Linked DNA regions of Solanum lycopersicum. The protein of the gene in region 1 interacts with the protein of each later gene in a pairwise test. Links are inferred from orthologs where the notes say so. Each region holds a gene or a part of one and is shown in the gene's direction. Other genes may lie near its edges. The genes, in order: KN1, B3 domain-containing transcription repressor VAL2, TCP21, Hop-interacting protein THI119, CAND1, BL3 and homeobox protein ATH1.

Evidence for each region.
Region 2: the proteins of KN1 (region 1) and B3 domain-containing transcription repressor VAL2 interact in binary tests that used the Arabidopsis thaliana proteins (3 or more experiments, as listed by UniProt). The link is inferred for Solanum lycopersicum from reciprocal best matches to the Arabidopsis thaliana genes KNAT1 and HSL1.
Region 3: the proteins of KN1 (region 1) and TCP21 interact in binary tests that used the Arabidopsis thaliana proteins (3 or more experiments, as listed by UniProt). The link is inferred for Solanum lycopersicum from reciprocal best matches to the Arabidopsis thaliana genes KNAT1 and AT5G51910.
Region 4: the proteins of KN1 (region 1) and Hop-interacting protein THI119 interact in binary tests that used the Arabidopsis thaliana proteins (3 or more experiments, as listed by UniProt). The link is inferred for Solanum lycopersicum from reciprocal best matches to the Arabidopsis thaliana genes KNAT1 and CXIP4.
Region 5: the proteins of KN1 (region 1) and CAND1 interact in binary tests that used the Arabidopsis thaliana proteins (3 or more experiments, as listed by UniProt). The link is inferred for Solanum lycopersicum from reciprocal best matches to the Arabidopsis thaliana genes KNAT1 and CAND1.
Region 6: the proteins of KN1 (region 1) and BL3 interact in binary tests that used the Arabidopsis thaliana proteins (3 or more experiments, as listed by UniProt). The link is inferred for Solanum lycopersicum from reciprocal best matches to the Arabidopsis thaliana genes KNAT1 and BEL1.
Region 7: the proteins of KN1 (region 1) and homeobox protein ATH1 interact in binary tests that used the Arabidopsis thaliana proteins (3 or more experiments, as listed by UniProt). The link is inferred for Solanum lycopersicum from reciprocal best matches to the Arabidopsis thaliana genes KNAT1 and ATH1.

The regions. Positions count from the first base shown.
Region 1 is NC_090803.1:63,966,059-63,968,361, forward strand, and holds the end of KN1 (homeotic protein knotted-1), read left to right. Parts: intron 1-438; coding exon 439-692; intron 693-1,343; coding exon 1,344-1,550; 3' UTR 1,551-1,803; downstream 1,804-2,303. UniProt on the Arabidopsis thaliana protein: May play a role in meristem function, and may be involved in maintaining cells in an undifferentiated, meristematic state, and its expression disappears at the same time the shoot apex undergoes the transition from vegetative to reproductive development.
Region 2 is NC_090809.1:57,733,675-57,737,656, forward strand, and holds the start of B3 domain-containing transcription repressor VAL2, read left to right. Parts: upstream 1-1,182; 5' UTR 1,183-2,056; coding exon of another isoform or gene 2,057-2,078; coding exon 2,079-2,169; intron 2,170-3,982. UniProt on the Arabidopsis thaliana protein: Transcriptional repressor of gene expression involved in embryonic pathways, such as LEC1, ABI3, and FUS3. Repressor of the sugar-inducible genes involved in the seed maturation program in seedlings.
Region 3 is NC_090802.1:2,189,817-2,192,847, forward strand, and holds TCP21 (TCP transcription factor 21), read left to right. Parts: upstream 1-1,341; 5' UTR 1,342-1,382; coding exon 1,383-2,363; 3' UTR 2,364-2,531; downstream 2,532-3,031.
Region 4 is NC_090807.1:1,087,318-1,090,259, forward strand, and holds Hop-interacting protein THI119, read left to right. Parts: upstream 1-1,458; coding exon 1,459-2,442; downstream 2,443-2,942. UniProt on the Arabidopsis thaliana protein: May regulate CAX1 cation transporter.
Region 5 is NC_090800.1:87,675,491-87,678,990, forward strand, and holds part of CAND1 (cullin-associated NEDD8-dissociated protein 1), read left to right. Parts: intron 1-1,158; coding exon 1,159-1,324; intron 1,325-1,796; coding exon 1,797-1,926; intron 1,927-2,449; coding exon 2,450-2,564; intron 2,565-2,639; coding exon 2,640-2,797; intron 2,798-2,881; coding exon 2,882-3,005; intron 3,006-3,230; coding exon 3,231-3,281; intron 3,282-3,348; coding exon 3,349-3,431; intron 3,432-3,500. UniProt on the Arabidopsis thaliana protein: Key assembly factor of SCF (SKP1-CUL1-F-box protein) E3 ubiquitin ligase complexes that promotes the exchange of the substrate-recognition F-box subunit in SCF complexes, thereby playing a key role in the cellular repertoire of SCF complexes.
Region 6 is NC_090807.1:66,657,356-66,661,535, forward strand, and holds the start of BL3 (bell-like homeodomain protein 3), read left to right. Parts: upstream 1-1,380; coding exon 1,381-2,190; intron 2,191-2,545; coding exon 2,546-2,937; intron 2,938-3,606; coding exon 3,607-3,667; intron 3,668-4,065; coding exon 4,066-4,180. UniProt on the Arabidopsis thaliana protein: Plays a major role in ovule patterning and in determination of integument identity via its interaction with MADS-box factors. Formation of complex with AG-SEP dimers negatively regulates the carpel identity process and favors the maintenance of ovule identity.
Region 7 is NC_090807.1:54,834,227-54,838,153, forward strand, and holds the start of homeobox protein ATH1, read left to right. Parts: upstream 1-1,127; 5' UTR 1,128-1,774; exon of another isoform or gene 1,775-2,631; 5' UTR 2,632-2,767; coding exon 2,768-3,868; intron 3,869-3,927. UniProt on the Arabidopsis thaliana protein: Transcription factor which may be involved in the signal transduction pathway downstream of the COP1 gene. Controls floral competency as a specific activator of FLC expression. Is responsive of the nuclear import of SHOOT MERISTEMLESS (STM).

The DNA.
Region 1 (2,303 bases):
TAAGGTTATCTTAGAATGAATTTATAATATTTCAAAATAATGAGTTCAAACTTCTACATTGTGGTAATTTTGTATATTTAAATTTATGCTTCGCGTGGAAAATACTAGTTCAAATAAATCCAGTGCTAATGAGGTAGGTTTACCTCAAATTGTACAAACATAACTAGATTTACTCCACTATTGAAGGGAATCTCATAGCATTAAAATTATCACGTGGCGATCTTTAGGTCATCGAGTTGAGTTGTATAATCAATCATTAATATTTGCATCAAGATAAACAGCTTACATTATATGTATTGTATTACAAATGTGCATAGAGACTTTTCTTTTGTACCTAGATGTACTATTGATTACAAGTATAATAGCAAGGTTAAGATAAATTATTGTTATTATTATTATTATTAACCTATATATATTATGTTGTTTTGTTGATTATAGAGGACAAGTGTGAGGGTGTTGGATCATCAGAAGAGGATCAAGACAACAGTGGTGGAGAAACTGAACTTCCTGAAATAGATCCAAGAGCAGAAGATAGAGAACTTAAGAATCACTTGTTGAGAAAATATAGTGGCTATTTAAGTAGCCTCAAACAAGAACTTTCAAAGAAGAAGAAAAAGGGGAAATTGCCCAAAGATGCTAGGCAGAAATTGATCACTTGGTGGGAGTTGCACTACAAGTGGCCATACCCTTCGGTAAATATTTACTCCTTTTGTCTCAATTTATCTGATTTAACGCTATGTTTTGAAATTTTGAAATTCGTGGTATTATGAACAAATCTTAAGTATTTGTATGAACTATAAATCATTTCATTATAGAAAAATGATGTTTTGTTTTTGGGACGGACTAAAAAATATAATATAGGTTAATACCATTAGATCGCTTAATTGCTAGGTCTTTATAACAAGTTAATTTTGTATGATTAGTATTAGTTGCTAATCTAGTAATCATGGTACTCTCTTTGTTCCAAAATGTACATGTCACTTCTCATTTTTTCAATAGTCGATGTGATTAATCTTTGTTTCTGAATCGGATTTAGATCAACTCAATTTTCCAAAATAAAAGTTCAGATATTTTCAAAAATTATATGATAAAGTTTATCATAATTTGTTATTCTACTTGTATCAATATAAAAAAAAAAGTGCTACATTTCAATGTATCACATAATTGGTGCGTAGATTAAGTAACTACTCCTGACATTCATGTCATTTGTTGATAAACTTCATTCGTCTACTCGATTCGATTTTTTGACTTTTCTATTATGACAATATGAAGAATATTACAAGTTTCACAAAGAATGAGTTGACCTATATAAATAAGATTGGTTACCTGCTACGATATTACAGGAGTCGGAGAAGGTTGCATTGGCAGAATCAACAGGATTGGATCAGAAACAAATAAATAACTGGTTCATTAACCAAAGGAAAAGACACTGGAAGCCTTCAGAAGACATGCAATTTATGGTGATGGATGGTCTTCATCCACAAAGTGCTGCTGCTCTTTATATGGAAGGTCACTACATGGGTGAAGGCCCTTTTCGTTTGGGTCAGTAATATTTATGAATTTTAATAAATTAAACTTTGCATGCTACATTTTCTTAATTGGGAAAAAAGAAACATTTAATTTCCTTGTAAGGTGAGTATGAATAGTATGGATTTTTAATTAGTTGTAGTATGTATGTTTCTAGCAAGCCTTATAGGCCTAAGCACAAGGATATTTTATTGCTTGTTCAATTGTATATGGTGAGAATCCTTTTGTATTTAATATTGTAATGTTATTAGTGTACCAAAATCTAGTGTTAACTTATCCAATGGTGTTAATAGTATTTGGCTCTAGTAGTTTAGTTGAGTGTCTAATATGTGTTAGGCGATCAAAAATATGATCAGTAAAAATTCATATAGTTTATTTCGTATTGAGGCATAGTAATTTATTGGGTAATATGGGTCATATAGTTGTGTCAAATTTATGTGATAATGTTTTCCAGGGTACGTGAGCCTTGTATTGCACAAGGTGAATGTTGTGCGCACCATTTTTTTTAGATTCATACGTAGAGGTAATAAAATTAAGTGATGTAATTACAATTTGCTTAAAATGGGATTGGTTATTGGCTCATCATTTTGTCAGTTCAAATCATTTAGTCTTAAAAATTTATGTTGATATCAAATACACGTTGATCCATGAAATTTAATTTCAGATGGACTTTTTTTAAAGTATATTGTATATAGCTAATAATAATAGAGAAAACTTATAATTTCATCTGATATTGAAATATTATAAATGAACAAATAAAACAATTAGAACTTTGC
Region 2 (3,982 bases), on another chromosome or scaffold:
AGGATATAGCACGCGTAGAAGAAGTAATCAATTAGGGGATTGAATAAACTAATTTTGATTTGTTTACTTATCTGTTTAATTACGCAATGATGATTAATCTTAGTTCTAATCTTATCGTACACACTAAGCCAAAAGAACCATACTTGAAAAGCAAAGTGGATTTTTGTCCTTTTGATTAGGACTCCCACTTCCTAAATGAGCCATTTGTTTTATTGCACCGTTTTTTATTTTATTTTATATGAGTTAGTTCGAATCGGTAGAAAATTTTTAAATGAAAAGAAAACTTTTGAAATTTATTTGAGATAAGTGATATTTCTTGTGTTTAAAAAAAAAAGATTTTATTTTCTTCTTAATCTGTTTAAAAAAGAATGTTTCGTTTTTTTTTTTACAATAATTTAACTTTAACTTTCCATGTGACATATTTAAGACCACAAGATTAAAGAACATTTTGATATATTTGACATAACTTTAATTTAGAACCACAAGATTAACAAGTCTTCTTTCTTTTCTTAAATTTCATTATAAGTCAAACTAGGTCATCCTTTTCGTTAATATCCTTTTTTTAACGAAGAGAGTAGATATTTGTGTTGTTATAAGTTATTTTATAAAAAGTAAAATAAATATTTTAATGTTAAATTGTTACTTGCTATATAAACATGTCATTCTTGTTTGAGGTAACTAAAAAGAAAAATAAATCAAATTTAGAGAAAAATGTACAAAACACTTTTTTTATTAAAAAACTCGTTTAAGACCCTTTTGTAGAGCTTTCATTAAAAAACCCGTTTAAGACCCCTTTGTAAAGCTTTCAAATTTCGTACTTACTTTTTAAGGGGAGTTATTTTCTAATCGATTTTAAATTGTGAAAAGTTGATTATTACTATTTTTTCAAGTTATTTTCTTTCACACACAAAACTTCTCTACACTAATAACAACAACAACGGAGATTCTAGAAAAGATATAATGTATGCATGTATCATCTTTTACCTAAAAATAGAGATATTATTATGGATTAAAGTACATGAAATATTATACAAACAAGATAACTAATGGTAACAAGACAATGATTATAATTGAATCATGTGATGACCAAAAATATAAGATAATAAGTAATAAAAATCAAAGAACTAGAAATTACGAGTGCAACACTAACTACTAATATGAACAGATGATAAAACAACACACGATGACCTTCTAATTTTCTATCCTAATTTGTGTCCTCCCTAATCTTTCTACGTAAGATCCTAAGCATCTATTTCCAGCCCTCATCAACACACGTCCATTCATACACATTCATTTCTACTATTTTCTCGTTTTATCTCTGTTTATATAAATTATCTATAGCCAATCACTCACACATCCACACTAGAACATCAAAACATATCACTTTCAAATGTTCAAAATTATCTCGATCTTTAACTTCCGCACCAAAGCCACTTCCAAATGTACCTATTTTAATCCTATCTCTTCTAGAACAACGAGAGAGGTTACAACATAGTTGGTCTTAACTATTACTTTGCATTTAGTCACAAAACTTGTATGTTTTTGATCAAATTATATAAACATAAGCTTTCTTTTCAATGTTCAAAAGAAAAGCTGATATGATAAAGTGAAAAAGAAATTGAGCAGAGAGAGACGTTAGTGGAAGAAGAACTGAAAGAGAAAGGCGGGCGACCTTTGCTGACCCTTCAAGTCTCTCCCTCCCTGCATGTCCCCTTTTCCATTTTTGAACTGTTTTACACTTTACGCTTCTCTCTCTCTCCCAATTCCACCGTTCCGGTACCGGAAATTCAACAAACTTCCCTAATATTTCTCTATCACAAATTTTAAAACAGACCCACAAACACTGCAGCTTACTAGCTTTAGTTTTATGTCTTTAACTTTTGTTTTCAAGATTCTTGCTTCACACTTATTATTCAACTATTTCATACTTGGGTTTTTCTAAAGACTTCATTTTTAGCTTTAAAAAAAAACTTTTTTTTTTTTGGGTTTTGCGTATGGAGTATTAAGAGGAAGATTATGCTGTATTAGGGCTTGATTAGAGGTAAGGATTTTAGGAATGGAGTCGAAGATTTGCATGAATGGACTGTGTGGGACAACTTCTTCAATTGAGTGGAAAAAAGGGTGGCCTTTGCGATCTGGTGAATTTGCGACCCTCTGTGATAAGTGCGGGTAATTCAATTCAGATCTCACTCTCTCTTTATACTTAATTTATATATGTTTGTAAATTCAGTTTTGTTGTTCTTTTTGTTTTGTAGAAACTGGTTTGCCTAGTGCTCAACTCTGTTTGATCATTTTATATGATAACATTACCATTTAGAATGTCAAACAGTGATTTTTCATTGTAAAAATGTTCTGACTTATATACTCTTTGTATAGGTTTTGAATTTGCTTATTTTATTCGAGAAAAGATTAAGGAATCAATGTCCTACTAATTGAGATGGTTTGAAATTTGTTTATTGAGCTGATTGTTCTTTTTTGAAACGGAAGAAGTATTTACAATCTGAACAGTTTCTGTGTTTATGTTAAGGTTACTGTGTTGGTGAATACTGTAGCAGCTCGGAGAATTATCCTTTTTGTTTTGCTGAAAGATATTTGCTAAATCATGTTCTTTTATCCGACTGTTCTTTAATTCGACTAAACAATTACTTTACCTTTTCAAATTAGAGATTGCATATTCAATTTGAGAGAATTAATTCTATTGGGATAATATGTTCCTAGTCCAGTTCATGCACCCTAGTAATGGTTGCTCAAACTGACTCTAGTTCTGGAAAGATTAAAGATCCTGCAAGATCAAAATGTGGGAAAGATAATCCTTCTTCTTTCTGTTTCACTTGTTGTCTTTTAGGAAGTCAGTGCAGATTAACCTGCTTACGTTCTCCTAAGGATTTGTATTATCTGTGATTCTTGCTGTGTCATAGGGAGGTTTTTCTTGGCTGAGATCAGGAGCATGGGCTTATGATCTAAGTGAGGCCGTTGAAGCGAGCCAGAATTTTTAATAAGGGGGTTCAGAATCTGAAGAAATAAACACATGAAGTAGCCGAAGGGGGTTCGACATCTATCGTATATACCTAAAAATTTATTTTAACCATGTAACAATAATATAATTTTCCGCCGAAGGGGGTTCGGATGAATCCCTAGTGATAAGGTGGCTCCGCCCCTGTGTTGAAGTGATGGCATAACTTTTTTTTTCTTTCCAGAATTGTCTATTTGGTTCCATGTTAAGTTACTGTGGAGCAACTTTGTCTTTTTTTGCTCTTTTTGGCCTTTATATGAAATAGAGATTGCATGCAGTGATTTCACTTACAGTAAATAATACAGTGCTGATGGAATGAAACTATTTTATTATTAATATTTGTTATTTTTTTCCCTTTTGTTTTGTTTTGTTTGTTTGTTTTACTTCTGTTATTTTTCTGTTTATCTTTTGTTTCTTGGTCAGGATAGATGACTGGTAGTTAAATTCATGATAAACTTAGATCTTTTGCAATCTACCGCCTGCATTGCCGAAAGGAAAAACATTCACTTTAACTTTGGAATAAAATGTAGCTAATGACAGTTTCACCATAAACTGAAAACTGAAACTAATGCAGAGTCTTAGGGCATCCAGTTTGAGAAATTATATCTGGAACGCTTCTAGTGTAGACACATTTGCATAAAACTTATTGATGCCAAAGCAATTCCTGGTATAGTCGATGTAAGCACAAGTTGAATCGGACACCACTATTATTAAAAAAATAATTAAAAAGATTCAATGGCGATATATTGGAATATGGTGGTAACCAATTAGAATTGAAGACCACGTAGTTGTAGAGTTGTATCACTGACTCAGGAGCCTGCCCATTCATTAATGAGCAAGATTCTCTTCAGTATTGAGTGGCAAAATCACAAACCACTGCCATTAGTGGGTTGAACGGAAACTTCTGAGCCCTTTTTTCTTAAAAAGTTAAGATGGTTCGAGGACCAACTTGCGCTAGCATATGTTAAC
Region 3 (3,031 bases), on another chromosome or scaffold:
AAGAAATATAATTGCAAAAGAAGATGGTTTTGAAGTGTCTAATTGCGTTCTTTAAAGAGATATTCCTCATGTAAATAGTGGGTTAAGTATAAATAATTCCATACAACAAATCGTTTTGTTTATTACGGAGATCTTTTTTAGTTTACTTCCCGAAATGCTTTATATTAATAAAATTTCAGAGGTGACTCTTCCTAAAAGTTATATTCTTTAATGAACAAATAATTTTTTATAAATATCATGTAATAATTTTTTATAACACTCAATCATAATTTTTTATTTTTCATGTGTTTGTTTCTATTAATAATTATGTGGGAAAATCGGGCAGAATAAAAGGAAAGAAATCCAAAGAGCAAGAGAACCTAGCAAAGAAAATAACAATTGATAGATTTAGATTTTATTCGTCATGTGAAGCCCATTATTGAACTTCACACTATTTTTTTTCACAATTTAGGGTTAAATTATCAAAATAAATATCTTTAATTATTATATTATAAATTATTTCACCTAAAAAATATCAGGCATCAAAATAAAATAACATCAATATATTAAGCTCTAGTTTGATCTTTGTCTTGTCAAACTTTTTACCTAACATAATTTTCTTAGAGTTCTAATTAAATTTAGTTGGCGTTTTGGCCATGTGATATAGTATCGTGAGATGAAATCAGCATTTAGACATATGATTTTATGCTGATTACATCTCGTGATTTCATATAATGAGATTTGATATCATATTCTTCAAAAATCATGGTATAGAATCATATGAGAATACAATATCATGATTTGAGTTATTTAAATACAAAAATTAATTCACGAATTTATATTTTGTTCAAACAACCCCACATTTCTATATACTAACTATTATTTCACATTTAAATAAAATTTATAATCACGTCATAACGTTTTAAAATTTATTAATTTCACTGACATAAAAAAATTTAATTCTCATCAACATAAGTCACTTTAACTCACACTTCACCAATATAATTTCACGTCATGTTTCATTTTAACTCAAATATATTGATGAAACAATTAATTAAGTGAAGAACAAATAGTTTTGCAATAATTTATTATACAATTTTATGATTTTTATTTATTTAATAATATAAAATAAATAATTAAAGCTATTTTAACAATTTTAGAATTTATGAGATTCTTATATTTATATTAAAAAAAAATACACAACATTAAAATTCTATATCATATGTCCAAATAAAATTTTTAATTTCGTCGCGTAATTCTATATTAATTTCTCCTTGTGTCAATTTTCATTAAGTACACAGTGGGGTACTGTAGTTATTTCAATCCTCCTTTTTTATTTTTTTAAGCTCTAAATTTTTTTGGGTTTCAGCTATTTGCAGCTGTGTTTGGGATTTTTCTGAAAAATGGCGAGGGTTGAGAACAACCAAAACATTGAACAAGAAGATGACGAGGTGAACGACTGTAAGATTGATCCGTTACTTGGTGATTCTCATGAATACACCATTGCAGCGGTAGGGAATGTCACCGATGCGGAAGGGGTGGATCCGTCTCCGGCGGCGTCCACTGATAGGGTGCTGTTGTTAAAGGAAGAACCGGAGGAGAATGATTTGCGAGTTTCTACGTCGGTTGGGATGAATATGCAATTGCAGAAGGTAGAGAAACAACCGGTGAAAAGATCCTCAAAGGACCGGCACACGAAAGTGGAAGGCCGTGGTCGGAGAATCCGTATGCCGGCGGCTTGTGCTGCTAGAATCTTCCAATTAACGCGGGAACTAGGTCATAAATCGGAAGGTGAAACTATAAGATGGCTTCTAGAACGCGCCGAGCCAGCCATCATTGCCGCTACTGGAACGGGTACGGTTCCGGCCATCGCGGTATCAGTAAACGGAACGCTGAAAATACCGACGTCAAACAACGAGGGAGAAAGCTCGAGGAAGAGAAGGAAAAGGGCTGCAAATAGCGAGTTTTATGAGGCGTCAAATTTTGCACCGGTGGCTCCCATTGCCCCACAAGGTCTTGTTCCTGTTTGGCCAGTGGGCTCTGGGAATGGACTTATTCCCACCACAGCATTTACCGGTGGGGCAACTTTCTATATGCTACCGCCAGGCACTAATACAACAGTTGCTGCTACTGGGGCTCAGTTGTGGGCCACTCCAATACTTAATGTACCTTATGCAGCAACAGGGGTCTCTGCTGCTTGTGTGTCAAAAAGTGATAACAATGGAGGCAAGTTAAGCACAGTTGCTTCAGCTATGCCTCCAAGTTCTAGTTCTACACAGATGCTTAGAGATTTCTCACTGGAGATTTATGACAAGAGAGAGCTTCAGTTTATGGTTGGTTCTGGTTCCAGTGAAATTGATCAAACTTCCTCATCTAAATCCTGATTAGGGTTCTAAGACCCATTAATTTATCTTTTTTTGTTAATCTCTTCTGGATAAGCATCTAGTTTTTTCAAAAGATTATTTTAACATTTTGCTTGTAAGCATCTAGGAAAGGAAGTTGCTCTGCTGTGACATGGGTTCGTCAATGTTAAATGTCAACTTGCTGTTTTCTTAGTTTTGGGGCACTCAACTTTTTCTTTGCATTATAGTGCTTGTTAATGTGCTCTATCCATTAGTAGTTTTTTCTTAAAAAAAAAGTAAATTTTGTACTAACATAAACTCGATCCTTTAGAAAATGTTTGTCATGTTCAATTTGACTAATTTTTTGATCATATTAATTCGATATTTTAAATAAAAAAATTAGATATTCTAAAACTATATGAAAAGTACTATAAATTATAATTTTTTACATATTAATATGATGAAAAAATGTGTTAGTCAAAGTTTTTATAGTTTGACTCTAAAAATAGAAATCATGACAAACAATATCGGAAGAGAAAGTAATATATAATATATATTTTCAATAAATAAAGAATACATATAAGCTATTTTTGTAACTGTGTATGTACTGTGGTTCTTATCTTTGGGTCCATTTGGCCCGTGCACTTGGATTACTTCATAAATTACATGTGACTTTAGAGTAGGGCCCACTAAAGATGGATAGAGGGGTG
Region 4 (2,942 bases), on another chromosome or scaffold:
TGCCCTAATTATGTCTTCTTTTAAGAAAAAAAAAAAGATTTTTTTGTCGATGGTGCAATCACTGCTAGCTTGTTTTAAGACAAATTACTAAGTACTGAGGGTTTCGTATAGCCAAACCCAACTGGTTTGAGATTGAGGTGAAACAATGCTAGTTGTTGTTGATGGTCTGCACTTTTACTAACAGCTTATATCTGAAAACCCCTAGAGATATAGCAGAAAAAACACGATTTTAGGATTTATTCTTTTTTAAATTCATTTGAATTGATTGTGCAATCATCTATAGCTTGTTTTAAGAAAAATTATCGAGTATTAGAATAAACGGGCAGACGGAATGGAATTGATATTTGATGATTCGTGTAGCCAAACCGAAGTAGGTTGAGACTGGTGAATTTGTATAGACATCTTTATTAACTGTAGGAACTATTTGAGATCGCTTACACCAATTATCTCATTGGAGGGGCTCTAAATTTATGTATTTCTTTTGTCTTTTTGGAACTTTTACTATCTGTTGATTTTTTTTTTAATTAGTCTTTATATCAATTATTGTTGAGTCTCCCACATCTCGGATACTGTTTGGATTGGCTTATTTTAAGTTGAAGTAGCTTAAGAACTTGTTTTTAAGTAAAAAAGACAAAAATAAGCCAAAAGCCATAAGTGAGAATTCCTAACGTATGGCTTATACGTCAAAAGCCATAAGTCCGTCCAAACAGGCTCTTGGTCTCCTTGTATGGCTTGGGAAATTCTCATCTCTTGGGCTAGCTTTTTGGGTTGAGTTAGGTTCAAGGTTGAGTTCTTTGTTAATTATCTTGTTGCAAGGGGCTTTAAGTTTTTCGTTGGTCTTTTGGTAGGCTCTCACTATTTGTCTGTTGTTTTATCTTCCTCTACCTTAGAAATCAACTATTTTGGGTTGTTATATCTTTGTGGAATTGAATTGTTGTTGTCGGCCTAATTTTGAAACTTATCTGAATTTGATCTGATTTTCTAGTTCAAATTGGGAATTGTTTAAAAGCTAGGCTTCAACTTTTTTATGCTTAACTAATGATTTTGGTGTACACATCCTATTACTGTTCTGATTTTAAGATCTGCATTTTGAATTTCGAAAAGCTAGGGTTAGGAGTGTTGATGATGCTTATGTTGTGATTTTCAGTATAAATGGACTGTTATGATTTTTAGCTCTGAATTTGGAACTTTGTAAGGCTGTTAAGGTATGGAAATCTGGTGCTACATGTTAGATTTTTAGTGAATACAGCTTTTTCTCTTCTGATTTTAGCACCGAATTTGGAGCTTGAAAAAACTGCCAGGATTTGGAAATTTGATGCTTACATGTTGATTAAGTGTATACAGCATTCCACTTCTGGTTTTGGCTCTTTGTGACTGTGGAAACTAGTTATATTTTAATGGTAATGCTTAAAAATTAATTTTTTGGTGCATACAGCTTGCAGGTGAAAAACAGTCAACATGCCGGCCACCGCAGGTAGAGTTCGCATGCCTGCGAACAATAGGGTACACAGTAGTGCAGCCCTACAGACGCACGGCATCTGGCAAAGTGCTATTGGTTATGACCCATATGCTCCTAGCAAGGATGAAGACAAGAAATCGTCTAACCAGAAGCCATCGTCGGCTGCAGATCCCGAAAATGCTTATGCAAGCTTTCAGGGTTTGCTTGCACTTGCTCGAATCACTGGATCAAATGCTGATGAGACCCGTGGAGCATGCAAGAGGTGTGGGCGGGTTGGCCACCTCACTTTCCAATGTAGGAATTTCGTGAGTGTTAAGGATGATAACAAGGATAAGGACGCAGAGGCAATAGAAGCTGCCGTGTTGTCTGGATTGGAGAAGATTAAGGGGCATGGTTCTAAGATGAAGGGGAAAGCAGAAAACGAGGATAGCAGTGAAGAAGAGGAGGAGAGTGAGAGTTCTGATTCTGATTATGATTCTGAAATGGAGAGGGCAATTGCTGAGAAGTATGGTAAGAAGGTGAGTAGAAAGTTAAAGTCATCATCTAAGAAGCACAAAAAGAAAGATTCTGATTCTGATGACGAGTCAGACTCTGGAAAAAGGAAAAAGAGGGGTAGATCAAAGAGAAGGAGGAGTGGGAAGAAGAGGGGACACAGTGATTCGGAGGATGATGATGAAGATAAGGAGCGTAGGAAGAGGAGGAGGGAAAAGAGGAGAAAACGGGATGAATCATCAGATGAGGAGGAGGATCGTCGGAGGAGGAGAAAAAGTAGGAAGGAGAAGAGGAGGAGGAGAAGTCATAGACATGCGGACAGTTCTGCTGAATCAAGTGATGAATCGCCTCCAAGGCACAAGCGTAGGAGCAGGAGAGCAGCAGCCTCAGCATCTGATTCTGACGCCAGCAACTCTGATGATGCACGAGTAGGCAGGGACAAAAAACGTTCTGAGAAGAGGAGCAGGAAACGTCATGATGATGAAGAGTAGTAATGTACCCCTGAAAGGAGATTTATCATCTACTATCTGGATTGCAGGTCCATTTCTTTCTATGGAACTTGCTTATCTAGGAACTGTGTGTATTTTTCATTGTCTATTCATCTTTTGCCTCAACAAATACTCGTCTGCTTGTAATTTTCCCTTCATGGTCCTGAGTATTGTTCAACTGATGTTGCAGTACTGCATCAGTTATTCAGGATATTGCTATCCTTGTTGAACTTGCATCATGTTATCCTTTTGAAGGTTTTGTGGGATTATTAGTTACAATCCGCAACTTGTGCAACTTCATAGGGTGGTAATAGTTGAAGTGATATATGAGCCCTATATTTACCATATTTATCAACATCATGTGTTAAAAATTTCAAGAAATATGTTACAGTAGCCTTTGATATTTGATTGTGCTAGACCCTTTGTTATTTTTTTTTCTCACATTTCCAGAAATTGTATTCCGAATGTGGTGTACTCTGATTTCTGGTTTTACTCAATATTGT
Region 5 (3,500 bases), on another chromosome or scaffold:
CTAGATGATCTTGTTTAACTGTGGTGCATGGAAAGATTACAACATATACATCCCTATGCTTGATTTTGGATTTGCCCTTTCTGATCTTGAGGCTTTCTGGTCGATATTTCTTGTCCCTCATTAAATTTGTTTATATCATTTTGGATTTCAGTCTTTGTGTTTCCTCATCAAGCCAACCAATTGCCTTCTGAGTTAACTGCAGTAGTAAGTAGATAGGCCTAGGCACTTGATATGTGGCCTACACTGGTGACTAGTAGGTGGAAAGATGATATAGGATTATTGAGCTTTTGCACCTTCTTATGTTGGACTGCTTGGGAATTTTAATTGCCTTCTGAGTTAACTGCAGTAGTAAGTGTGACCTATACTGGTGACTAGTAGGTGGAAAGATGATATAGGATTGACCTTCTGCACCTTCTTATGTTGGACAGCTTGGGAATTTTGTATGGCAATGACATCTGAGCTGTCCTGTATGCACCTAGCCTATTCCAATGGGTACCTGACCTCCTATCTACACCTGGTACCGAGTTAACTACCCACCGAGGCTTGGGGACACATGAGAAGAAACAACCCAATATTTTTTTTCCTCCAATGAAATTCAAACCCGAGATCTCGTGTCTGTCCTCGCACTTTATTGACTAATAGGCCAAAACCCTTGGGTGCAGGTTAACATAAGGAAGCTAAAATGAATAATTTGCCTCAGAAAGGTATTATCATTTACTAGTTCCTTCGAGACAAAGAAGGTTTTGATCCGCAAATTGTTCTTTATCATATGAGCTCATGTCGAATATAGAAGTCTACTAAAAAGAGAAACACGCAAATAGAGATGATTTTCCATGAACTCCACCCAAAATCTCTGCATAAAGGGACTTCTTATATAGATGCGGAACCATCATTCACTCTACATACAAGAAATCTGCAAGTGCCTTCAACCAAAAAAATGATGTGTTCTGTTCAGAAACATTAGGCAGGATTGTAGGTGAATTGTCAATGCGTGCACAATTTGTTTTAAAAAGTGATGCTGTCATTCTTCTGTATATTCTCTTATCAGCCTTATATTTGGGGAATTAACACTCTTTTACTTGTTTATTTTCAAATGCACACATATTTGTAGTTACTTTTTCTTTTTTATAAGTTTCTCTATTGTTGTCTCCCTTCCAGGGAATGAGCACTGAGATTAAATGTGAATGTCTTGACATACTATGTGATGTTCTTCACAAGTATGGGAATTTGATGGACACTGACCATGAGTCTTTGTTAACTTCATTATTGCCCCAACTAAGTTCCAATCAAGCTAGTGTCCGGAAGAAGACCGTTTCATGTATAGGTAACTTTGTTATTAGCTTCTATTTATTGGATGTATTTTAAATTGTGAATGGAGAGTGTAACTCATTAAAACAGGGTTTGTTTGATTGCTTAAAACCCGTTTGGATTGGCTTTAAAAAAGTAGCTTAAGTCTAAAAAAATAATAAGTATTTTTAACTTTTTTGAAGTCATTTAGAACTCATTTTAAGTTATTTTTAACTTTGCCAAACATTCCCCAATTTATTTTTATGGTGTTTATATATTTGCCAAACTCTTTCAGATGTCAAAAATTGTCTGAAAAGTAGGTTTGACCAACTTTTACGCCAATCCAAATACCCTCTTAGTCGTAGATGCTTTGGGTGATAGTAATTGCAATATTCGTTGCAGACACACATGAGTTAATAAGATTTCATAGACTATCATGTACTGTTGGACTGGTGGCCGAGATTTCAACTTTTCTTCAGTAAATTCAGTTTTACCTTTTTCTTTTACAGCATCTCTGTCTTCGAGTTTGTCGGATGATTTGCTTGCAAAGGCTACAGTTGAAGTTGTTCGCCTTTTAAGCAATAAGAGCTTAAAATCAGAAATGATACGAACTAACATTCAGATGATCGGGGCCTCAAGGTAGCAAATCCTAAATTTAAATTGATGCTTGCATTTTGTCCTATCAAATGTTACATGATATTGATATACTTGTTTGCGTTGATAATTTTTTAGACAAATGCCCAAGTACAATGTACTTTTCTCAACAGTAGGTATCCTGGATACTCAATTAAAAGATTTCACATCCAATATTCTTCACTCCATTGGACAGTGTCCTTTTCACTGCCCTAAAGAAGCTGCTTGCTTGTATCAAGTGAAACGAAACAGGGCTGAGTGACTTGTATCTGGGTGCACTCTTTTGCAGCTGAGTTTTTAATGTTTTGATACTTCTAAATGGATTCTGGACTTAGATAAACGTGAAATAGAAAAAACTTAAGGTGTGAAACGGACACATGCATGCACACTCTTGACTGTCACTTTTTCATTCAAGATCCTCTATTTTTTCTTTCTGAGATGTGGTGCTTACTTTTGGAGAGCTTTCCTCTATTACTATCAATTATTTTGTAGACTAATTTTTACTTGGGCTGTCAACTTGTGTTTCCAGCCGTGCTGTTGGTTATCGTTTTGGTCCTCACCTCGGAGATACAGTTCCATTGCTTATTAACTACTGTACAAGTGCATCTGAAAATGATGAGGAGCTTCGTGAATATAGTCTGCAGGTGCTATATTAATTGATTTTTTTTTTCTCTGTTCTTATTAAACCCCTGGATGCAGCCTAAGTATTTTTATTCCAGGCACTTGAGAGCTTTTTGCTAAGGTGTCCCCGGGATATTTATTCCTACTGTGATGAGATTTTGCATCTCACCCTGGAATATCTCAGCTACGATCCCAACTTCACTGACAATATGGACGAAGATATTGATGAAGAAATTCTTGAGGAAGATGAAGATGAGTATGTTCACTCACGTTCTGGATCTTTGCTAAGACTCATTAGGTTCTTCTTACTAATCAAATCACTTGTCAAATTTTGTTGTAGTGAGAGTGCTAATGAATACACGGATGATGAAGATGTCAGTTGGAAGGTTAGAAGAGCTGCTGCCAAATGCTTAGCTGCATTGGTAGTTACACGGCCTGAGATGCTATCAAAGTTGTACGAGCAGGTATAACCAGGAAGTATGACCTAGTTAGTCTCACTTCAAGCTATTATATATTTGTAGTTTAATATAAGTGTTTACCCTCTATTTGTCATTATATTTTCCTCTCTAGTGTGTCGTGCAGATGTAGCTCTCATTTCTTATTGAAGTTGAAATGTTTCTGTATACTGCTACAGTACATCTGTCTCATAGTCATAATAAATTTATAATGCTGACTCTAATCTTTTGCAGGCTTGTCCAAAGTTGATTGATAGGTTTAAAGAAAGGGAAGAGAATGTTAAGGTAAATTGGAAGTCTTTTGAATTCCCTTAACGATCTGGTTTTAATTGACTCAAAACTTGCTCGACAGATGGATGTGTTCAGTACATTCACTGAATTGTTGCGACAAACAGGCAATGTTACGAAAGGACAGACTGATCTGAATGAATCAAGGTAGGTCATTGCTATTGCTTCTTTATATAACTTAAATTGTCCAATTTTGTGTTTTCTATTATCATTTTA
Region 6 (4,180 bases), on another chromosome or scaffold:
GGAATACTAGAATAATGACTTAGATTATATATTGAAGACGGGGTGGGAACAAATTATTTTCATTAGACTCTACTAATAGGATTATATCGAATATGTTATTGTCGTTGATTGAATTCAATTTTAATTAATTTAAGGATTAATTATTGAAGAGGGAGAGGGGTATTTTTTTTAATTTGATTTGATTTTCTTCCTAGGAAGTCTATTTTGTACGTATTGATTATCTTGTTTTGCATGAGAGAGAGAAAGTAAGAGCAAAAAAGCATATATCAATGAAAAAACATGGTTTACAAGTCATCATCACACACCCCCTTAGGCCTCTCTCTCTCTCTCTCCTTAACCTCTGGAAAATCCATAATGTTTTCTCCTTCATCTGATTTTCATCATCCTCACTAATTTCTAAGGATGTTTTTTTTCATTGTACACCATGTTTCTTGTTTTGTTTGAGAAAAAAAACAACACAGAGAAAAAAAAAGGTTCATTTCTTGATCTTCCCTTTTCTTTTCTTGTTTTGATGTTTTATGTGCAAAAACAAGTTGGTAGTGAGTAAAAATTCAATCTTTTTGTTTAATAAAGGATGGTAACTAAAAAACCCTTTTAGTTTTTAGTTCATTTGATCTTCTTCTTTTTCTTTTTTTTTTTTTTTGCCTTTTGTTCTCTTATTTTGAAGTTTTAACTAATCTACAAGCATTTGGGTGTGTAAAAATTCAATCTTTTTGTTGGAGAAAAGATAACTTCTAATTCATTTGATCATTTTTTAAAACTTTTGTTTTCTTGTTTTGAAGGTTTTACTAGTCATCTATGTTGGTATATAAGCATTTGAGTGAGTAAAAATTCAATCTTTTTGTTGAAAAAAGGTTAACTTTGATAGTAACTAAAAACCCCTTTAAGTTTTTAGTTCATTTGATCTATTCTTTACCTTTTGTTTTCTTGTTTTGATGTTTTTAACTAGTGGAAATATTCAATCTTTTGGTTAAAAAAAGGTAAGTAAAAACCCCTTTTAGTTTTTAGTTCACTTGATGTTTTATTTTTTACCTTATGTTTTCTTGCTTTGAAGTTTTTAACTAGTCATCTATGTTGGTACAAACACTTGAGTAAGTAAAAATTCAATCTTTTTTGTTCAAAAAAGGTAAAAAAATTATTTCTAGTTCACTTGATCTTTGCCTTTTGATGTTCTTCACTCTACTTATGATGTTTTTTTACCATTTTTGGGTTGTTTTAATAAAAGATATGCAGATCTTGATGGGATTTTTGTTTGTTGCAGAATCATGAAAGTACTTAAAGAGTTATAAAGCTGAGATCTTTATATGTATATATAGCTAGATGGCTAGTCATCATCAAGAAAGTATTATTCGCGAAGAGATTAAACCAAGATCATCATCAATGGTTACTAGTACTGGTTATTGGTTTTCATCAGATACAAATAATCAAAATCCAACACCACATAACAATATTGTGAATCATCAGTTGCAAAACTTTGAAACAAATCCAGATTTGTACAATTTGAGTAGTAGTACTACTTCTAGTATGGATCAAATGATGATAGGGTTTCCACCAAACAACAATAATCCTCATCATGTGTTGTGGAAAGGTAATTTTCCTAACAAGATCAATGGTGTTGTTGTTGATGATGATGATGATGATCACGGTCCTTCGTCTTCTAAGAACATTAGTGAACAATTTTATCAACATGAAACTATGTTGGCAACAACAACAACTAGTCATCAAGATTCATGGCATCATGATAATAACAGGACATTACTTGTTGATGATCCATCTATGAGATGTGTTTTCCCTTGTGAAGGAAATGAAAGGCCAAGTCAAGGACTTTCATTATCTCTTTGTTCATCAAATCCATCAAGTATTGGTTTACAATCTTTTGAGCTTAGACATCAAGATTTGCAACAAGGACTAATACATGATGGATTTTTGGGTAAATCTACAAGTATACAACAAGGGTATTTTCATCATTATCATCAAGTTAGGGACTCCAAATATCTAGGTCCAGCTCAGGAGTTGCTCAGTGAGTTCTGTAGTCTTGGAATAAAGAAGAATAATGATCATTCTTCTTCAAAACTACTTCTAAAGCAACATGACACTACTGCTACTACTTCAAAAAAGCAACTTTTACAGTCTCTTGACCTTTTGGAACTTCAAAAAAGAAAAACAAAATTGCTTCAAATGCTTGAAGAGGTATATCATATATATATATATATTCTTTCAATCCTTTTTTCTTTTTAACATGAAATTGTTGAAAAAAAGTTCTTTTTTTAATTGTTCAAAATCTTGGTGAACTAATTTTGAGGCTGAATATGCCCTTTTCCATTAATTGCCCACATGGTGACAATTTCACTATTCCATTAATTCTCTATAACCCTTTTCTCCTTTTTTCATCACACTATCGGAAACAACCTCTCTGCCTCCCGAGGTAAAGGTCTATACAGTACTCTACTCTATCCTTTCCAGACCCTACTTTTTACGTATGTTGTTGTTGTTATTCATACTTCACTAGGCAAAAAAGATTCAATTTTTTTTGGATTATGTGTAGGTGGATAGAAGGTACAAGCATTATTGTGATCAAATGAAGGGTGTTGTATCATCATTTGAAGCAGTGGCTGGAAATGGAGCAGCAACAGTTTACTCAGCCTTAGCATCAAGAGCTATGTCAAGGCATTTTAGATGTTTAAGAGATGGTATTGTGGCACAAATTAAGGCCACAAAAATGGCTATGGGAGAAAAGGACAGTACTACTACTCTTATTCCTGGCTCAACAAGAGGTGAAACACCAAGACTCAGACTTCTTGATCAAACTTTAAGGCAACAAAAGGCTTTCCAACAAATGAATATGATGGAGACTCATCCTTGGAGACCGCAACGCGGTCTCCCGGAAAGATCAGTCTCCGTCCTCCGCGCGTGGCTCTTTGAACACTTTCTCCACCCGTAAGTCCGATCTCAAAATTTAAATTTGATGAATTCAACTTACCTTTTAAAACTTATGGTATGTCACTATATTGTTTTGGTTAAATATAAATTATGTATATTTTTTTTATATTATACATTTGAACTTGTCTAGTTCTCTTGCTAAGTATTGTATTTGTTTTATTACTTGAGTCGAGAGTTTATCATAATAGTATCTTACCTGATCATAAGGTTGTGGTAAAATTGTATACATACTATCCTTCCTAGACTCTGCTTGTGTATTACACTGAATATGTTATTATAAATATTGTGTATTATGTATTTGAACGTTATTATTTTAAGTGATAGATTATTATTAAAAAAAAATTATTTTTTTATTTTAAAAAAGAAGAAAATAATATAACCCCACTTGTAGTTGTAGTACCAAGGATCTTTCTATGGGCCATCAATCATTGTTCACAAAAATAGCTAAATATTTTGGGAGTTGCTCTCAATTTGTTGTTACAGTAACTCCTTTTCCTTTTTCCTTTGTCGGTTTTAACTATACTATATATCATAACTACTCTGACTATAGAATTTTTGTTGATTTTATTTTGTTACATAACATAGAAAGTACAACATATGTTATTATAAACTATAGTATAAGTACAATTTATATTTACTTTCTTTATGGAAAATATATTCTTGCAGGTACCCAAGTGATGTTGATAAACACATTTTAGCTCGCCAAACTGGTCTTTCAAGAAGCCAGGCATGTCCTTTTCTCCACCATAACATATTAATGATATAGGTGTAACATCGAGTTTACGTTATATGCACTGACAAAGTGATAATATAAAAAAGAATTACATTATCGACCAGTTAATTATCATTTTTATCATGCTACACACTTCTAGTTATCATCATTGATATAAATGTAGAGTTTAAGTTATATGCACTAACAGTGACAGAATTATTATGAGCATTTTGACATATTATAAAAGATTGTGTTCAGTTTGTACTTATAGTCATCTTTTAAGTGATCTGGTAATGTAGATTTTTATCGCCACTCATACTCTTTACTAGTACATATAGTATAATTGTTTATATTGTCAGTATATATAACTTTGATGTGATGCACGTAAGATTGAATGTATTTTTGTTGGGCAGGTGTCTAATTGGTTCATTAATGCAAGGGTAAGGCTATGGAAGCCAATGGTGGAAGAAATGTACTTAGAAGAAACAAAAGAAGAAGAAGAAGAAAATGTTGGATCTCAAGATGGAT
Region 7 (3,927 bases), on another chromosome or scaffold:
AAACATTTTCACTATCAATTGGACTAATGATTTGTGGAACAACATATGTATCCTCTATCAATACCCCTCACAAATCTGATTCCACATCAGACAACGGTATTTGTTTAGACGTAATAAATTATGGGGGTTCAATAATTCAATAGGAAAATGACGTAGTTGAGGTACATGAAGGAAAAAATCCAATAAGTTTAGGGATCTACTTATGTATTTGGCCATTTTGTATTATAACATCTCAAATCATGATATGGCATCACCATGTGATTCGATATCATGGTTTTTGGAGGATATGATATCACATCTCATGATAAGGAATCATATAATGAAATCAACATAAAATGACATGTCCAAATACTGATTACATTTCACGATACCATGTCGTTGATATGATATCGCATGGCCAAACGCATATTAAGTATAATCAATTTTTTTTATAATGTCAAAATACTTTGGATGTAATCAAATTTTTTTTACATAAAATCTTATTTTGTGTGGAATATAGCATCCGATATACTTCATCAATTAGATCACTTTTACCTTTTTCAAAATTAAGGTTTGATCACTTTTACCTTTTTCAAAATTAAGGTAAGTTAAAAGCATTACACACTAGGGTTGTAATTAGTATGGAGACGACTAAGAGGAAATTGGTAAGTAAAAGTGTTCCTATTGAGCCCTTTTCGTTTAAATTTACGATTGTCCGTTTTCTTATGTAATTAAGTTAATCAAATGAAATTGTTTCCTTTAGTTATATTCTACAATCTTAACTAATCTTTTTTTTTTTTTGGAGATTTTATATTGACACAAATGTGTAAATGGCAAAATTTTAATTTATTTACTTGATAAATATTTAAGAATATACATAACAAAAACATTTTATCGTGATTATATGCTCAGTTAAAATTGGACTAGTTCAAAAACATGACTGTCTCAATAAATTTATCTTTTTTGTAGTACGCATAAATTAAATAATAATAACATACTCAATATATTCGATCTTTATGAAGTAAAAATGTACATACTCAGTGTAACGTTATATTTGGGTTGAATCCAAACGAAATGGCCCCAAAATGAGGCACACTATAGTATGTTTTTTGCAAAATTGTATAGTATTGCATGAAATGTGAATGATTATTTTGCGTTTGTGTGGCTCTTCTCTTAGCTATCTTTTCATAATGGGTCCATAAATCCATGTAATTATTCATCTCTCAGCTGCTCTCTGCAAAACCAACAAGCACATTTTTTGGCTTTTAACACTTCTCTCACTCACACACACATTCTTTACCCCTTTTCTTTGTGATTTATTCATGCCCTTTGGATAATGACCCCCCAAAAAAACAAAAAAAAGAAACCCTCTTTTTAATAAAATAATGTATTTGTGAGGAAGATGGTGATTCTGAATTTTCTGAGTTTCTTGGGTGTTGGGTTCTGAATAAAAATCTTGCTTTTCTTCCTCATGCAAGCAAAACATCTTACTTTTTGCATTGCTTTTTTTTTTTTTTTTGTAGTTTTTTGGGGGTGGGTTTTGTGTTGTGGGGTTGATATATTGTACTAGTCCTACCATTATTCTTTTCTTTTTTTTACCCTTCTTATTTTTATTATTGTTAAAGGGGAGAAAAAGGGGTCTTTTGATTAAACATTGTTTGGGGTGAAAGGGAAAAAAACCCAATGATTTGTTTTAAATTTTTCTCTATATTTGGATTTGGCAACAACCTTGGAATTCTATTTTAAGAGGAATTTTGAAGAAGCTGCAGTTTGTGGAAGTTTGGCACCAAGCTTGGTTTCCTTCTTTCTTTCACTACTATTATTATTATTATTATTTTGGATGTGTTTTATAAGCTCAATTATGATTTGGTGAAACAATTTTATTTTTTTAACCCTTTCATGTTCTTTGCTTTACTATTATTAAGTACATATAAGCTAACTATCTAACTACTTGACATGTCCCATATTTATGACTAACACTTTCACTTCATTTGTGACTAAAGGAGAAGTAACCTTGATAATTGTTGTTTTGACATGATGTTTGTTTCATTTATCCTATTTTAACGTATATTGTTTAGACTCTTCAAAGATATCAAAAGACATGTGTTTGTAGTATATTTTTTTAGAGCGTGGCATGGAAAGTGAAGAGTCTATGCAATTTAGTTTGAATTTGGCAAATTAACCATCTCCATTATAAGGAGATTTATGGAAGTTAATGGATGTATGTTCTGAGTTAAGAGTTATGAAATATGTATGTTTGATTCTCTCTATATTTGTTTTTTGTACATCAAACAGCAGATTGCCTGTTTTCCATTTTTTTCTACTGTTATTCAAGATCAGGTTGTGGGACTGAAATAGTAATATTTAGGCACATGAACTTTTTGATATGATTCTGCCTAATAATTCTGTTAACATAGACAGATCAATGTAAAGAGACCAAAAAAAAAAAGTTGGATGGTAATGACTATACAACAAGAAAAAAGAGAAAATGTCTTGTCCCATCCTTAGTGTTTAAAGCAATTTTTTGAGTCAACTAGTTGGATGTAAATGATCAAATTTAGTAGAGGTGTTTTCCTCTACCATCCATCTGTTCTAGAAAATCCTTCGAGATGTTATCTAAGTTGTATTAATAGAACATTTTTCTTGTTATAGGCAATTCTTTTCAGCCAAAAGTATACAAGTGTGAACTATCAAGGTTTCATTGAGCTGCTGTTGTTAGCTTGATCACTTGTCTTTGTTGTTTCATAGAAAATCCTCAAGTGATGTGGAACTCAAATTTCAACTAGAAATGGCAGAGCCTCTTCGGATTATAGATGAAAATTTTCTTCATACGACTATTGTTCCCATTAGTTTTCCCGAAACAGTTTGTATGAACAATCAAAACCAGATCATGGATGGACATGGAATTCCTTATCCTTTTATGCTGCAAGGTGAAGCCGTAAACACCTCTCATGGTTTTCTAAATGTACCTAATTTTCCTCGACCTGTTGACACTGAAGCAATTCATAATGTGTTGCCGGTTGGGAGAAACAGAATAAAAGAGTATTCAGTGAGTACTTCTTATCCAATCAGTAATGCTTACGCAGATGATCAATATATGGAAGGTATACCAATTTCTGCTGTGTCTCTTGCTAATCTTTTGGCTGCAAGGAACGCTATGCACGAGAATCCTGAAAATTTAGCGGTACTAGCTCCGTTATCACATCCTACAGAAGGCCAGAAAATGGATGGTCTAGACTATCCTAATGTGTTGAATCATTCATTTGGATCCTACAGAAACTATGAGTTTGATGGTGTTTCGGAAATTGGTGGGATGGTTGTAGGACGAGCAGGATCTCAGCCTTTCCAATTAACTGAAAATGTGAATTCAAACACATGGTTCTCATCAGAAACAGCTAGTTTGAGTTCTGATAGTCCCTCTGGATCCTCCCGATTTAGCAACGACCTCTGTCTAAGTCTCACAACATCACAATCTGCTGTTGCATGTGGGACTACTATCCGGGACCAATGCTCGGATATAAGTTGCTCCGGTGTAACCAACCATGCTTTCCCTCAAAGACGCTTTGATTCAGAGTTAACTTCTTGCAACAGCAGAAATCTGTCTTTAAGCTTTGGTTCATACAAACCTGTCTACCTTTCACAATTCTTAACTGGATCAAGATATCTCCGTGTAATGCAAGAAATACTCTCTGAAATTGCTCAGTTATCACTTCAAAATCATAACTTGGTAGGCTATCGAGGAAATGGGACGGAGAATGGTGCAAACACTTCATTTGCTTTGAATTCAGATGCTGGAAGGGGCTATGCAGCCATGAGTTCTGATGATTCACCTGATGGTCTGATGGGTTGTGAAGCTAAGAAAAAGAATCTGGTAGCTTTGTTGCAAGTGGTGAGTTGACAAGCATTTGATGATTAGTTTTCGGTTTTATGACAATCTGTTTTGAAAAT